Linked DNA regions of Tamandua tetradactyla. The protein of the gene in region 1 binds, or shares a complex with, the protein of each later gene. Links are inferred from orthologs where the notes say so. Each region holds a gene or a part of one and is shown in the gene's direction. Other genes may lie near its edges.

Evidence for each region. Proteins that work in one complex are often made in the same cells at the same time.
Region 2: TAF1A (region 1) and POLR1H share a complex: the UniProt entries of both Homo sapiens proteins name them as parts of the pol I pre-initiation complex. The link is inferred for Tamandua tetradactyla from reciprocal best matches to the Homo sapiens genes TAF1A and POLR1H.

What each region holds. Positions count from the first base shown.
Region 1 is NC_135330.1:83,117,553-83,125,068, reverse strand, and holds the start of TAF1A (TATA box-binding protein-associated factor RNA polymerase I subunit A), read left to right. Parts: upstream 1-4,467; 5' UTR 4,468-4,592; exon of another isoform or gene 4,593-4,859; intron 4,860-5,280; 5' UTR 5,281-5,411; coding exon 5,412-5,532; intron 5,533-7,516. UniProt on the Homo sapiens protein: Component of the transcription factor SL1/TIF-IB complex, which is involved in the assembly of the PIC (pre-initiation complex) during RNA polymerase I-dependent transcription.
Region 2 is NC_135331.1:84,544,654-84,552,025, forward strand, and holds the start of POLR1H (DNA-directed RNA polymerase I subunit RPA12), read left to right. Parts: upstream 1-4,339; 5' UTR 4,340-4,670; coding exon 4,671-4,806; intron 4,807-5,058; coding exon 5,059-5,159; intron 5,160-5,362; coding exon 5,363-5,472; intron 5,473-5,871; exon of another isoform or gene 5,872-7,372. UniProt on the Homo sapiens protein: Core component of RNA polymerase I (Pol I), a DNA-dependent RNA polymerase which synthesizes ribosomal RNA precursors using the four ribonucleoside triphosphates as substrates. Can mediate Pol I proofreading of the nascent RNA transcript.

The sequences.
Region 1 (7,516 bases):
TAAAGGAAAAGCTGACAAAACTAAAGGAAGAAAGAGACAAATCCACAGTTTGAATTTTTAACAGCCCTATCCCAGTAATAGAAACACCATTCAAAATGTAAGTAGCCATATTAAATATATGAAGAAAACTAGCAACCACTTTAACCTCACTGACACTAATAGAACACAATGCTCAGCAACTTCAGGGTACTCATTCTTTTCTAGTGCCGATGGAATATTTACCAGGCTATAATGACACTGGGGGCAACAAAATAAATTCTCAAAAACTTAAAAAATATTACTAAATAAGGTTAAGATGTCAATTCTACCCACGGTTACTTACAGATTCAATGCTTATTACAAATCACAGTAATAAAAAACAGCATAGTACTGACAAAAGGACAGAAAAATAGAACAATAGAGTCAAATTGAGAGTTCAGAAATCAACCCTTACACTTATATCCTTCTGATTTTTTTTCTCTTTTTCTTTTCTCTTCTTTCTTTTTTTGCATGGGCAGGCACTGGGAATCAAACTCAGGTCTCTGAGAACTCTGCCTGCTAAGCCACCTGGCCCGCCCCCAACTGATTTTTGACAAACGGGGAAGGACCATTCAATTTGGAAAGAACAGGCTCTTTAACAAATGGTGTTGGGAAAACTGGATTTCCATTTGCAAAAGAATGAAGGTGGACACCTACCTCACATCATATAAAAAAGTAAACTCAAAATGGATCAAAGACCTAAATATAAGAAACAGAGCTATTGACTCGTAGATGAAAACATAGGGAAGCGTCTTCAGGATCTTGTGTTGGGCAAGAGTTTTAGACTTCACACCCAAAGTTCAAGCAACAAAAGAAAAAATAGATAAATAGGACCTCCTCAAAATTAAAAACTTCTGTGCATCAATGGTCCTTACTATGAAAGGAAAATGACAACCCATACAATGAAAGAAAATATTTGGAAGCCACAAATCCAATACATAAAGAAGTCCTCCAACTCAACAACAAAAAGATAACTCAATTTAAAAATGGGCAAAAGATTTGAACACACATTTTTCCAAAGAAGATAGATAAATGCCCAAACAACACATGAAAAGATGCTCAACATCATTAGCATCACAACCATAATGTGTTACCATTTAATACCCACAAGAATGGCTATTATTAGAAAAATACAAAATTACAAAGTGTTGGAGAAGATCTGGAGAAATAGGAACACTTTATTCATTTCTGGTGGAAATGTAAAAATGGTGCAGCCACTCGGTGGAAAACAATTTGCCACTTTCTCAGATAGTTAAGTATAGAATTGCCCAGCATATATGTCCCAGCATATATCTAGGTATATATCCAAAAGAATTGAAAGTAAGGACTTGAACAGATATTTGCACACCGATATTCATAGCATCATTGTTCACAATCGCCAAAAGATGGAAGCAATCCAAGTGTCCATAAACCAGTGAATGGATAAACAAAATGTGGTATATACACAAAATGGAATATTATTCAGCCATAAATAGGAATGAAATTCTGAAACATGCATCAACAGACAAAAGAAGGTGGAAACAAAGTACAAATATTTTATGATTTCACTAATATGAAATAATTAGAATAACCAAACTCATATGGTCAGAATCTAGGTTACAAAGGGATGGGGAACGGGGTGGAATAGGGAGCTGTGTTAGGTTCTCTAGAGAAACAGAACCAACAGAAGAGATCTGTAAATATGAGATAAACATTTCTCATGCAACCGTGGGAATGGAAGAGTCCAAAATCCATACGGCAAACTGTGAGGCTGGTGGCTCCAATGAATGTTCTGGACAGCCTCCTCAGGAGAAGTGAAAGAGTCTCTCTTATTCACTAAAGACCTCCAACTGATTGGATTATCTCAGTGCAGGAGACTGCCTTAGTTGATCACACATGTAATCAGCCACAGATGCAATCAACTGACTGACCAACCTTCTAGTTTATCAACCAGCCACGAAATATCCTTGGCCAGTGCTTGTCTGACCAGACAACTGGGCACAATCACTTGGCCAAGTTGATACCAGAACCCAACCATCACAGGACTTAAGGCTTAAAATGTAGAATTTCTATTTGGAATGCTGAAATGTTTCGATAATAGATGGCGGTGATGGCAGCATAACATTGTGAACATAATTAACAGCAGTGAAATATATATCTGAAATTGGTTCAAAGGAGGAAATGTTAGGTTGTACATATGGTACCAGAATAACATTAAAAAACAAAACAAAACATGGAACCGCATAACACTAGCTGTGAGTCCATGGAATATAGTTAATTTTACACTGATAAAAAATGTGCTTTCATCAATTGTCACAAATGTACCACACAATGGAAGGTATTAATAATAGGGTGAAATGTGGAGACCTGTATTTTATGCATGATTACTCTGTAAACCCACACCTCTAAAGAGAAAAAAAACTGATAGGATGGACTTAGTTGGCTGTATCCAAGGCTAGATATCAAAAAGGAAATGACACTCCTGAGGGGGAAAAAACAGCAGTAAATTAGATTGAACAAGAGGCCTGTCCACAGGCCCACTTCATAATTATACTCCAAGGTGGCCAGCTCCTCTCAGGCCTCAGAGAACTTTCCTTCCTCCATGCCCTAGCCCACATATCAGCGCAGCAATACCTGTTTGTCATATACCAGGTCAATCTTGTGGTCAAGGAGGCCCCAGACCTCGGAGATGGCTGTGGTGTTGCTTAGCATGCAGACTGTTCACTGTGCCACTGCGGGGTTGTGGCAGTTGATTTCAATCTTGAAAGCCACTGGATACTAGTCCATACACAGGATGGTACTCTTGATCATAGCGATGGTGGCAGTCACATCCTTGAGCTCCACTTTTCCACTGTAGAGTATGCAGCAGACTATGCACTTTCTGGGGGAGGGTCACACTTGGCTATCTGGAGGGTTAAAGCAGATACTAGTCACCTCTGCCACTGTGAACTGCTCATGTTTCAGCTGAGACAATGGGCAAGTAGGTCATCAGGGGAAAGTGGATGGAGGGGTAGTGCACCAGGGTGGTCTGGCACCCTGTGCAGTCCATGTTCAGGAACCTGTCAACGCACAGGGAGGTGGTGATGGAGGGAAAATCTGACCAGTGAGTCAGACTGTGATTTAGCATGGTCAATATTTTTAATCTCTTTGTCCCAATGCATGTTCTACCAGAGTTGTACCATGGGAAAGGAAGGGTAGGTAGGGCATATAAACTTACTAGTTCTTAACTTTCTCTCTTTTATCTACTGCTGTGTAGAGAAACTAGAAATTTCTTCCCCACTTAGATGAGAACATCAATTTCTAGCCACATAAAAGCAACTCTGGGTTGGTTTTGGTGAAATTATATCTCATGGCAATGGACTAAATATATCCAGATTAAGGTCTAGGCTGGGGGGCTAATAACTATAGTTTTGTGTGTGTGTGTCGTGCCCTCCTCTACCACACCATCATATAGATCAGTGTTGCCTGTGGCACTCGAGCACATACTTGAGAAAGGCCAAGCACTTATATGGCATAGCAGGAGGAACTTTTCTTGCCAGTATTTATGAATGCAACATAGAAATAAGTATTCCTAACATTATAAGGAATCACTTACATGCTCTTACTAGACCTTTAGTTGCCTCCGCAGTACACTGATTGTGCTCAAATGGTTCATTCTGGGGAGGAGCTCAAAAGATTCCTGGAGTCACCGACACCCTTATCGGTGCAACTTTAGCTATTAACAAAAATCTTTCTTGGAACGACTTTAAAAATGCCTCCTTCTAGCATTTATTCAATCAATTCTATCCTCTCATGCTATACAAAAGTAATCTAAACCTCCCTGGACGGATCAGCTCTCCAAATATCCGAAAGACACATTATGTTCACGTGTATCTCTGCTTTTCCAAGGTCACCCTCCTCGAAACCCTTAACTGTCTCTCATTTCACATCGTTTAACCATTTTATTTTTGACCCCTATTTCATACAGGTTTTTCAATGTCACTTACGGAAAATGGCCCAACACAAGTACTCGGAATCGTCCCCGCTGAGGACCAAATAGAGATTCTAGTCCGAGTTTTGGGGAGGCAGTCAGGGTCGCTTAAACTCACCCGAAGGTCAGAGCTAAAACTTTAATAAAAGGAAAAAGCCAATTAGACGGCTAGCAAGAGGTCCTATCGGGGTCGCTCGCCACGCCTCCGTTCGCGCAGCCCGTCAGTGAGCAAGCAGAAACCGGAAGGTCCCGCACGGTAAGTCACTCGGGTAATGTGACAGCCTGCTTTTTCGACTGTTCTTCATTTCCAGCCATTCTCCGTCGCCCCAATATCCACTTGTAATTAGAATCTCTCCTTTTCCGGCTGGGACAGATTAAAACGTGAACCTGAGACCATACCCACGAGAAAGCGGCAAGTCTCCACACCGGCCACGAGGGGCGGCCGTGACGTCACCACGGCGGCGCTGGGGGCGGGGCTGCTCCTGCGCACGGCCCGTGCTCCCGAGCGATTCTCCGCGTGCTCACGCGAAGCGTCGCGGACGTCACTTCCCGCGAGGTTTTGTTCGTGGTGTCCCGCGAAGTTGGAACGCCCAGCTCAGCCGGGCCCAGGGGCTTCACGCTTCAGGCGAGTACGTGTCGTGGACGTTGTCTGCGGCACCGCCTGCTTTCCCGGTTGAGCGGGAATGGCTGTGCGAGGACGCAGGTGTGGCCCGGTATTTTCTCCTGGTGCGGTGAGACCGTGAGTGAGTCGAAGAGAGAGAGCGGAAGCCTTGTTGCCGTGGTAGCCGCGCGCTTCACCGCGGGGTTCGGCGTGTTTGTGAGCACGGCCTCGGTCGGGACTCCTGGACGGCCCCGGGTGGGTCAGCCTTGGTCACCTTTCTTGTGACCTCAGGTAGATGACAAGATAACACTAAACCAGGCTAGTTCTCGCCTGCCATGCCGGAGACCCGGGTTCCATTCCCGGTGCCTACCCATGCCAAAAAAATAAAAATAAAAAATAATAATAATAATCACACTAAGCCCCTCAAGTCTTTTCACCGTCAAAATGCGGTATTTACCTCAGGATTACTGTGAAGATTAAATTAGGTAGTTTGTGTGGCTGACATATAGTAAGATCCCAGTACATCTCAACTGCTACTGCTACTCTTGTTTTGTCCTACTATTATTTCTCATTTTTCTCTTTCTTGTGGACTTGAGTTTGTTTTTGAGTAAAAGGACAATATCTTGGTTATCTCTGTATGTGATTGCTTATAGTTGATGTTGTATTTTTTTTTATGTTGCTGACATAATTATATCTTATTTTTACTTTAAAGGAATTCCCAAGTACAGAAAAATTTTGCTGATCAAGTATTTCTTAGATCAGAAGACGACTTTTCTCTGTAACTCAGAAGCCTACGGATTAAGATGTACAGAAAGTAACTGATATTCTCAGTTTCGAGTAGGTATGAGTGATTTCATTGAGGAATCAGCAAGGCCCGTGCCCGAGGAGGATGGGGTGGACATGTCTGTGCTCTCTGGTACAGGAATTTATTTCCCTTGGCTCCGAAAGCAAATAGAAACTGTGGGTAAGTAAAAGAACATATGACCGTTTAACTATAATGCAAGGCAGTGGTTAGATTCAGTATGGATGCGAAATGAATAACTAGGTTGGGGAGAGCTTCAGTTTTCAAGGTAGGAAATAGGTGATATACTTTTTAGGCTGTAAGGAAGAAAACAAATCACAAATAGGTCTTTTTTTTTTTCTTTTAAAATTCTTTTCCTTTGAATTAATAACAAGTAGTCTGTATTTCTTTTTCCCCAGCAAGACTTATTTCACACACTTATTTGGCATTGGCTAAATACTGGTGATATGCAGATTAGTAACGTTGGGACTCTGCCCACTGAGGAATGCATACCTAAGAAGTGTTCAGGAAGTTCTTGTTGAATTGCACTGGAATGATTTCAAATAGAATTAGTTTTAAAAAAGTGTTTTCCCCCATTTTCATTTAATATAAATATGAGCAAGTTTTTCGATGAGATAAATTCCCTACTGGATTGAATAAGAACCAGTTATCTACATGTTGGCATGTTGGGTGATGTAGTCCTGGGAATACATTTGAAGCATTATTTTTATTATTGCCCTCAATCCGTGTTTCGTAGCCCATAATTGAAATCCCTTAGCTCCTGTTTTTTTTCCTTCTAACCTGAGTATCATTTCATTAATTATCTCAGTAAATTAATCCTCATAGCAGTATATATGTCAGGCATTTTAGAGATGAAGAAACTGAATCTTAGAGAAGTTAAACTATAAGCAGTGGTGTCAGGAGTCAAACCCAGGTCTGTTTGATCTCAAAGCCTGTGCTTTTAACCACTGAGCTATATAAAAAGTGAGATAATATATTTGAATTGCTTAGCATAGAGCCTCATGCACAGCGAGTGTTGAAAAATTACCAATTCCATTCCTCTCCTCATTTTATTTTAACTAGGTTAATGCATATGACTTAAGCGAAGTTTGACTGTATTGTACTTCAGGAATGATACCTCACCCCTTAGAACTAGGAACCTGAAGTGTGGGGTTAGGTAATGCTACTCAGTTTCTGCTAGTTAAGATATACCTGGGTATGTTTCTGTCACCAGGGATCTATAGAGAGTTTGATTAAGTCTGCAGGTAAATAGGTTTAAGACCAGAATTTATGTGCTTAGAAATGTGTTATTATGTATTATGGATAGCCTTTTAAACCCAAGATATTGTATATCTGCAATGAGAAAATAGTAATAAATAATATTGGCACTGTAAGTAACGTACAGTATTGACGTTGTAAGTAACTATAGTTTGAAAACGAAATTGCCTAAGAATTATTTTTTTATACTAGTAGAAAGTTTTTGGCATTCTGAAGGATCTGCCCTCCTCCCCCCTAGAATGAAAGCTCCTTTAAGGGAGGGGTCAGTCTGGAATAAAGATTTATGCCAAGCACCTAGAATTTGTTGACTGACTGACAACTTTCTGGATTCTTTTAGGGGCTGATTTTTGAATGACTGGTTCTTATTTATAGCTCATTCCATGCCAAAACTTCTTTTCCTTAAGAAATATTATTATTACTATTTTTATAGTTCTTTTTTTAAAACATTTTTATTGTAAATAACAAACATTCTTGACACTGTTAGAATTAGTGGCTCACAATATCATCACATAGTTGTGTATTCATCACCATGATCCTTAGTTTTAAACATTTGCATATCTCCAGCAAAAGAAAGAAAAAAGAAAAAATTCATACATGCCATACCCCTAACCCTTCCCTCTCATTGATGACTAGTATTTCAAGCTACTCAATTTTTAAAATCTTTGCTCCCCCTATTATTTGTTTATTTCTTATCCATATTTTTTACTCATTTGTCCATACTGTAGATAAAAGGAGCATCAAACACAAGGTTTTCACAGTCATGCAGTCACATTGCGAAAGCTTTAAGAAACATGGCTACTGGAACACAGCGTGATAATTTCAGGCATTTCCCCCTAGCCACTCCAATACACCATAAACTAAAAAGGGGATATCAATGTTATGTGTAAGA
Region 2 (7,372 bases), on another chromosome or scaffold:
TCCTATTTGACTCCTCAAAAAGGGAGGCATAGTCAAGAATTTTCTTTGTGGTGGCTTTATAACTGTATTCTCTTCTCCATTCTGAGACTTTTCCATAAGAATATTCACTTTAATATGGCTTCCATGGTACGGCTGGAAAAGAGGATATGCAATAACACTCTCAAATTCCTTTACCTCTTTCTTTACTTTCTCACGCTTCTCATGTGCAGATGGCAGGCTCTGTTTATCCCCCAAGAGCCTTTCCTTGAGTCTTTGCTCTATAAGTTCTCGCCCTCGAATCATGCGTTCCTGGTGATCTTTAATTTGCACCTGTTCCCTCTCTACTACCTGCTTTCTTCTCTGTGCTTTCTGGTTGCCATGTTTTTCTGACATGATTTTTGGTAGTGTTGTTTCACTAATGACTCGTAGTTGTTTAAATGTTTTATTCCTGAGTTCTCTGGCCTGTCCGGCTCGATGTATGTACCTCTCTATGTGTTTCAGCTCTCTCTCAGGTACTAAATAGTACCATTTTTGTCTCTCTATGTCTTGGGTTATTTTCTCCTCTATCTTCTTCTCAATTTCACTGACTGACTTTTGTTTTTTCATCATTTCCACTGTTCTTTTATTATAATAAGACTCTGCTTTGGCAAGCCAGTAATCAAGAGAAAGAGACTGCTCCTCACAGAGTGTTTTATACTCTTCTTGATATTTTTGGGTTATTAGTCTTCTTGTTGCTGTTGTATGCACGCCACCTAGATTCTGTCAAAATGAGGTATAGAATTTTAAAATATGACCACCATCTTTTTATTTAGAATATATGTAAAGACGAGCCTACTCTCAGTACTGAAACAAGCAAAGATACATAGTTTTTAATTTACTTCAATGTAATAATTGTGATTTTACTCCCATGGCACCTAGGTAAGCCTGTAAGCTCTGAAAGTACGAAGTACCTATCCATCACCATAAATCAATAACTAGTTTAAAAATATGTACAGTGTTAGGGGTTTTCAAAATGATACCTTTTTTTGCAGCTGTGGACAAAGCTGAGAAACATTTTTCAGTGTAGACTTACTATCTGAAGGTATCATTTGGGGGAAAGGATTTTAAACCTAACATTCCTTCTCCTAGTAGCTCCAAATTGTATGATGCAAAGATAATTTACTTACCAAGATCTTTTTCTCCAGTGGGGAGTGTTGGCCTGCAGCAATCCTAGAGTCTTTTGATGCTTTAGCCCAGGCCAATCTGTAAAATAAAAAAGCAAAAATAGATTAGAATGTGGGAGGTGTTAGAACACATCTGCTCACATAGTGTCTAATCTAACTGAATCAAGGAACCCAATGGTTTTGGTGAAGTCCAATGGTATTTCCCCCCCGCAAAGAGAAAACCCATGAATAGGTTATAGCAGGGCCATTTTCCTCAAGGAAACCATCGTATTTCTATGGTAGAGAGTAATAAATGGTCTTTTAAGAAGAGGATTTTCCCTTTATATGAGCTAAAAGCATACTTCTCTTGTGGACTCAACTTGAACCATTCTGAGTCTTGTACTGGGGAATGGGCGAGGGAAGTGACAGACTTCTTGGTGAGGTATTGCTGATGCACATCTATGTCAGACTGGTCAGTCCCCCAGCCTCCTTCATCTTCTGAGATAATTCTAGACTCTAGTTTTATTAGTTCATTCTCTTTCTGTAGTTTCTTGATCCGGGCCCTCTCTGCCTCTATCAGCACATACAGCATCTCTGTGCGCTCAACTTTTGCTCTGAAATTGTTATTTTATTGTCCACACTTCTGCTTGGCTGCCTTACATACACTGCCAATCATTCTTCACACTAATCCATTATGGGACCATTTACAATTGAACCCTTCAGGGTAGGAACTGGCAGGTACTCTGTGTTTACTTATAGGACAGGCTGAGAGCAACACACATGAAGACTATTAACTTTCTATGTGTCATCCCTGGTCTGGTCTGAGTTACTGTGAGGTCGTATTTAAGCTACTGAGGATGCCTAGCAATTCATCTCTGTGCTTTTGTTTACACCCTTTATGATTAAGAGCATGGGTTTTGGAGCCTGATAGGGTTAGACTTGAATCTTAAATCCACCACTTCCCAGGTGTGTATACCAAGGGCAAGTAACTTATCCTCTATGCCAGTTTCCTCATCTGTAAAACAGAGACAAGACACAATTCTGCCTCTTGGGGTTATAAAGATTATAAAGAACAAATACAAGTTAGATGTAAAGAGCTTGGCATAGTGCTTGATATATGGTAAGTTCTCAGTAAATGGCAATTATCTGTCCTCCACAGATTAAGTCCATGACTCTCCAAAAATTCTTTTTGCTCTACTCTGTCTCATAGTAGCTTCTGCCTTCCCCTGAAGACTTTTTTTCTACAAATCATATGAAAATTAATCACGCTTTACATTGTGACACACACACACACACATCACTTTTCACATTTTGCTGCATTATTTTTACAACTATAATTTGGGTGTATTCAAAGAGCAGAAACAAAATTCAGATTTACAAAGATATGATCTCTCTATATTATCAGAGAGAATCTGAAAACTATTCTGAATCACTGACCTCTTAGATGCATTCATATTTGCCTATGCATAACACATTAACATCTAACACAGTATTTAAGATGAGTCTGTGATTCCAAGTCCCCTTAGTATTTAAAAGTGAAGATTTATTATTTATTATACTTATCACATGATGTCTCAGCATCTTTTTCATCCCCATGGCTTTGTATATATCTTTTCGTTAAAGCATTTACCAGTCTTTCTTGAAGCACATGGGCATATTTATTTGATATGCTCATCCTGGACACTTACATTTTGTACATACTAGTGTTCATTACTCATTTGCATTCCTTGAGGTTGGAGAACAATTTTCAACTTTGTAGCCCCAGACTCAGCTCAAAGCCTGGCATAAATGCTCAATAAACATTTACTGATTAGAATGTGAACTTATTGGGGAAGGGGCATGCCTTATAATGCTTGCAGTTCCTTTACTGCATTAGGATATTCAATACATGTTGGATGTTTCACTGTATGTCAAAGCGAAAAGGAAAAGTTGGGGTGCGAGGAGGGCTAATTTCAATTTCCATTTTCAAAGGAGACAGCACAGTGAGATGTAAGCATAGAAACTGCCTACCATCCTGGGCTTAGCAACAGACCTGTCTTTGTAATACAAAGAAATGACACTCAAGTAAGTGAAATTACAGGGCTTACCACTCTCCTGCAGCTCGTTAAGTTTTAACTCCATTCAATATCAGGTATGTCCCCACTATTGGAAAAAAAAGAATCTCCCAGAGACGGCATTTTGTTTCTTTCAGAGAAAAAAACAGTGATAGCTCCAGGAAAAAAAATATATATATATACATATGGAGATTATCAGAACAATCCGGTTGGGTGGAGCTGGGAGGACTGGAAAGAAGCCAGGGAACTCATCTAGGAGTTTCCCTTTTAGTTCAAATTTGTACACAGATTATATGTTACAAATGAACAAAAATACCAAGATTTTCTAAAGATACTACCCTTAAATTTTAGAAAAGATTAGGGAAATGTCGACTGCCCACCTAATGGATGACAATGATTTAGAGTTGGGCAGGAGGCGAAAGAGAATGGGGCGGGAGTGGATTTCTGCAACAATAAGCCAAACTTCACCCAAGTCTTCGTGAAAGCCTTCCACTACCTACTCCCTTGATTAATGCTAGTCTCCCTCGCCTGGCAGGTGCCTAAGAATAGGGGAGCCCCGAAACACCCCTATTCCAAACACTTCCGCTACCTCCAAAATCCTAAATCCCTCCAACGTCCTACTCAATTCCTTTCGTCTCAAGGGACTAAGTATTCCTCCTCCGTCTTCATCCTTACCACTTTCTGCCCCTTAAGATGCCAACTCACATCTTCCAAGCGCCCCTAAACTGCCTCCCAAGAAGAGCACGCGTGCCAGGCTGAGCACTGCAGAGCAGCCCACGCTCCGCCAGCAGGATCCAAGCAATACCAGAACCGTAACTCTCGGAATGCTTAGCTTTCTTTGTTTGTAACCACTGAGCAGCCGCCGAAAGGAGATGCCGGCTCAGGAATGGCGGGAATTGTAGTTCCCTTGTCAGTAAAACAAGTATTCAGGAAGATTAGTACGTTTTGGAGGGAATGACCTCCGGCAAATGATGCGAGACCAAGAAAATAAGTATATCAGAGTTCTGTCCCGGGGATAAAAGCAGCCAGAAGCGCAGTACACGTTAGCATTTTTCTTTTCCGACGTCACAATACAAAGCCGAAGAAACCACAAGTTCCGCTCGCGCGGCTTGCGTTCTCTCAGAAAGGCTTTTGGACTTAGGTTAGCGATTACTTATGACATCTCAGCCAATCGTGAGCCGGGACGCTTTGACGCTCTAGGCCGCCATGCACCGACTGCTCGGCGGCTCTCTGGGAGGCCGACGCTCTAGCCCGCGGGGTTGGTCAGCTCGTCTCCCAGGAAGGGTACCAAGCCGCTGGGCTCCAGAAGAGGGCTGGCAGTGCTGGACGCTTAGGCCCACTCGTCGCAGAAATGGGAGGCGTGCTTTGGAATGTTTATGCCTAGGTCCTGGTTCAGGACAGGAAGGACCCCAGAGTGGTGAGGTTGGTTTTAAAAAACCTTTATTTTGTTAATACGTTGCTCGTCCGCTCCCCAACCCGCGACCACCTTTCCGTTATGGACCTCGCCAAGACCTGCTCCAGCTTCCAGTCGGACCTCGATTTCTGCCCAGACTGCGGCTCTGTTCTGCCCCTGCCCGGGACTCAAGATACGGTCATCTGTGCGCGCTGTGGCTTCTCCATCAACGTGCGGGGTGAGCGACTCTTAGGCAGTGGTCCGGGCGGAGAGTCCGGAATGGAAGTGTCGGAGGTTTGGGGACCTCAAGATCGCTGGGATTAAGGAGGGGGATTCTAGAGCAGGAGACCAGGCACTTATACCTTTGGTCCAGGGCGGAGACCCGAAGGTGACACAAGGAATGCAGAGCCTCCTGGCTTAACCGGGAGCGGGGTTGCGGGTATCTACTCCCACCATTTGTCTCCACAAACGATTCTTACTGCCTGCGCAGACTTCGAAGGGAAGGTTGTGAAGACCTCATTTGTGTTTCACAAACTGGGAACAGCCGTGCGCAAGTCCGTAGAAGAAGGACCAGCGTTTCAGGGGCCCGTGGTAAGTTAATGAGATCAAGGACTGGCTCAGTAAGGGAAATGAAGAAAGAAATGGGGGAGGGGGCAATTGGAGAGATATGGAGAGTTTTGTACCCAAATCCAGGAAAGTAGAGGGGAAATGTCTGTGGGATGTGACAGCCTGATTCCTATGCGAATTAAGGAGATACTGACTAGGCCTTCCCTGTCCCACCAATTGTTTCCCAGGTTGACAGACGCTGCGCTAGATGTGGTCATGAAGGAATGGCATACCAGACCAGACAGATGCGCTCAGCCGATGAAGGGCAGACTGTCTTCTACACCTGTACCAACTGCAAGTGAGTGTCATTTCCCCTCCCTCTGCCCTTTCTCCATCTACTTGCCAGCTAAACAAATCCAATGGCTTACCTTTTACTAAATGAATAATTATCTTCTTTGGTCATATCCCTCATATCTGTACAGTTCAGATAGTAAGAAAATGCATGGTCTTCTTTTTAATATTTTCATTGAGAAATCTTCAAACATACCTTCCATACATGGTGTACAATCAATGGCTCACAATATCATCACATAATTGTATATTCACTACCATGATCATTGTTTAGAACATTTGCATCACTCCAGAAAAAGAAATAAAAGGAAGAAAGAGAAACCTCGTGCATACCATACACCTTACCCCTCCCTCTTATTGACCACTAGTATTTCCATCTACCCAATTTATTTTACCCTTTGTCCCCTCTATTTATTTATTAACTTTTTATCCATATTTTTTTATTCCTCTGCCCATAGCTGGGATAAAAGGAACATCAGACACAAGGTCTTCACAATCACGCAGTCACACTGTAAAAGTTATATCTTTTATACAATCGATTATCTTCAAGAATCAAGGCTATTGGAACTCAGCTCAAATGTTTCAGGTACTTCTCTCCACTCACTCCAACACACCATAAACTAAAAAGGGATATCTATATAATACATAATAACCTCCAGGATAACCTCTTGACTCTGTTTGAAATCCCTCAGCCACTGAAACTTTATTTTGTCTCATTTCTCTCTTCCCCGTTTTGGTTAAGAAGTCTTTCTCAATTCCTTATGCCGGGTCCCAGCTCATCCCAGGATTTCTGTCCTGTGTTGCCAGGGAGATTTACACCCCTGGGAGTCATATCCCCCGTATTGGGTAGGGCAGTGAGTTCACATGCTGAGTTGGCTTAGAGAGAGGCCATATCTGAGCAAAAAAGGTTGTCTGGGGATGACTCTTAGGCATAATTATATGTAGCCTTAGCCTATCATTTGCAGAATAAGTTTCATGAACCCCAAGATCGAGGGCTTGGCTTATTGATTTGGTTGTCCACACTGCTTAGTGAGAATATCAGAAATTCTCCAAAAGGGGGAAGTTGAATATTTCCTCCTTTCTCCCATTCCCCCAGGGGACTTTGCAAATACTTCTTTATTCATTGCCCAGATTACTCTGGGATTTATCAGATCATCACACTAACTTGAACAAACCAACAAAATCTCACCCCCTATTGAAGATTCCATATACTTATAATGTTCAACTAAACTAACCGTACTAATTAAATTAGGAAATGCACTACCTAAAATATAAATTTTGCACCCAATAAACATCTCTCCCTTTAGTCTCACACAGAAGTTGAAGTCTTAAAATATAGATATCATCCTTTAACTGTATTCTGATATACCTTAGTTATATCTGGATCAGCTTCATTCATGTCGCTACTTGATGTCTGATCACTTTTTTAACTTTTTAAACAGTTCCTGTGTGGGGTACTGATGACTTTCATAGCTTCAGAGTTCTGAGTCTTAGATGTCACATAAATACCTGAAGTTTCTGGGAATGACCATGTTATATACAAACAGCTCAGTATCTCAGAATTTAGAATTAACAGTTAGATCCCCTGAATATATGTGACTGCTGTAAGAGCTTACAATCTAAGACCCTTTACAATAGGCCCCAACCTAATCACCCATGTTCTCAACTTTAGTTCACTGAATTTTTATATTATGGTTAGTCCATAAGGTTGAGGCATGATAATATTTGTCTTTTTGTTCCTAAAATTTCATTCAACATAGTCTTTAAGGTTCATTCACCTAGTTGCATGCCTTACATCTTCATTACTTCTTGCAGCTACTTAGTAGTCTGTTGTATGTATATACCACAGTTCCCCCTTCCATTCCTCAGTCGTTGTACCCTTAGACCACCTCCATTAATTATTGCTC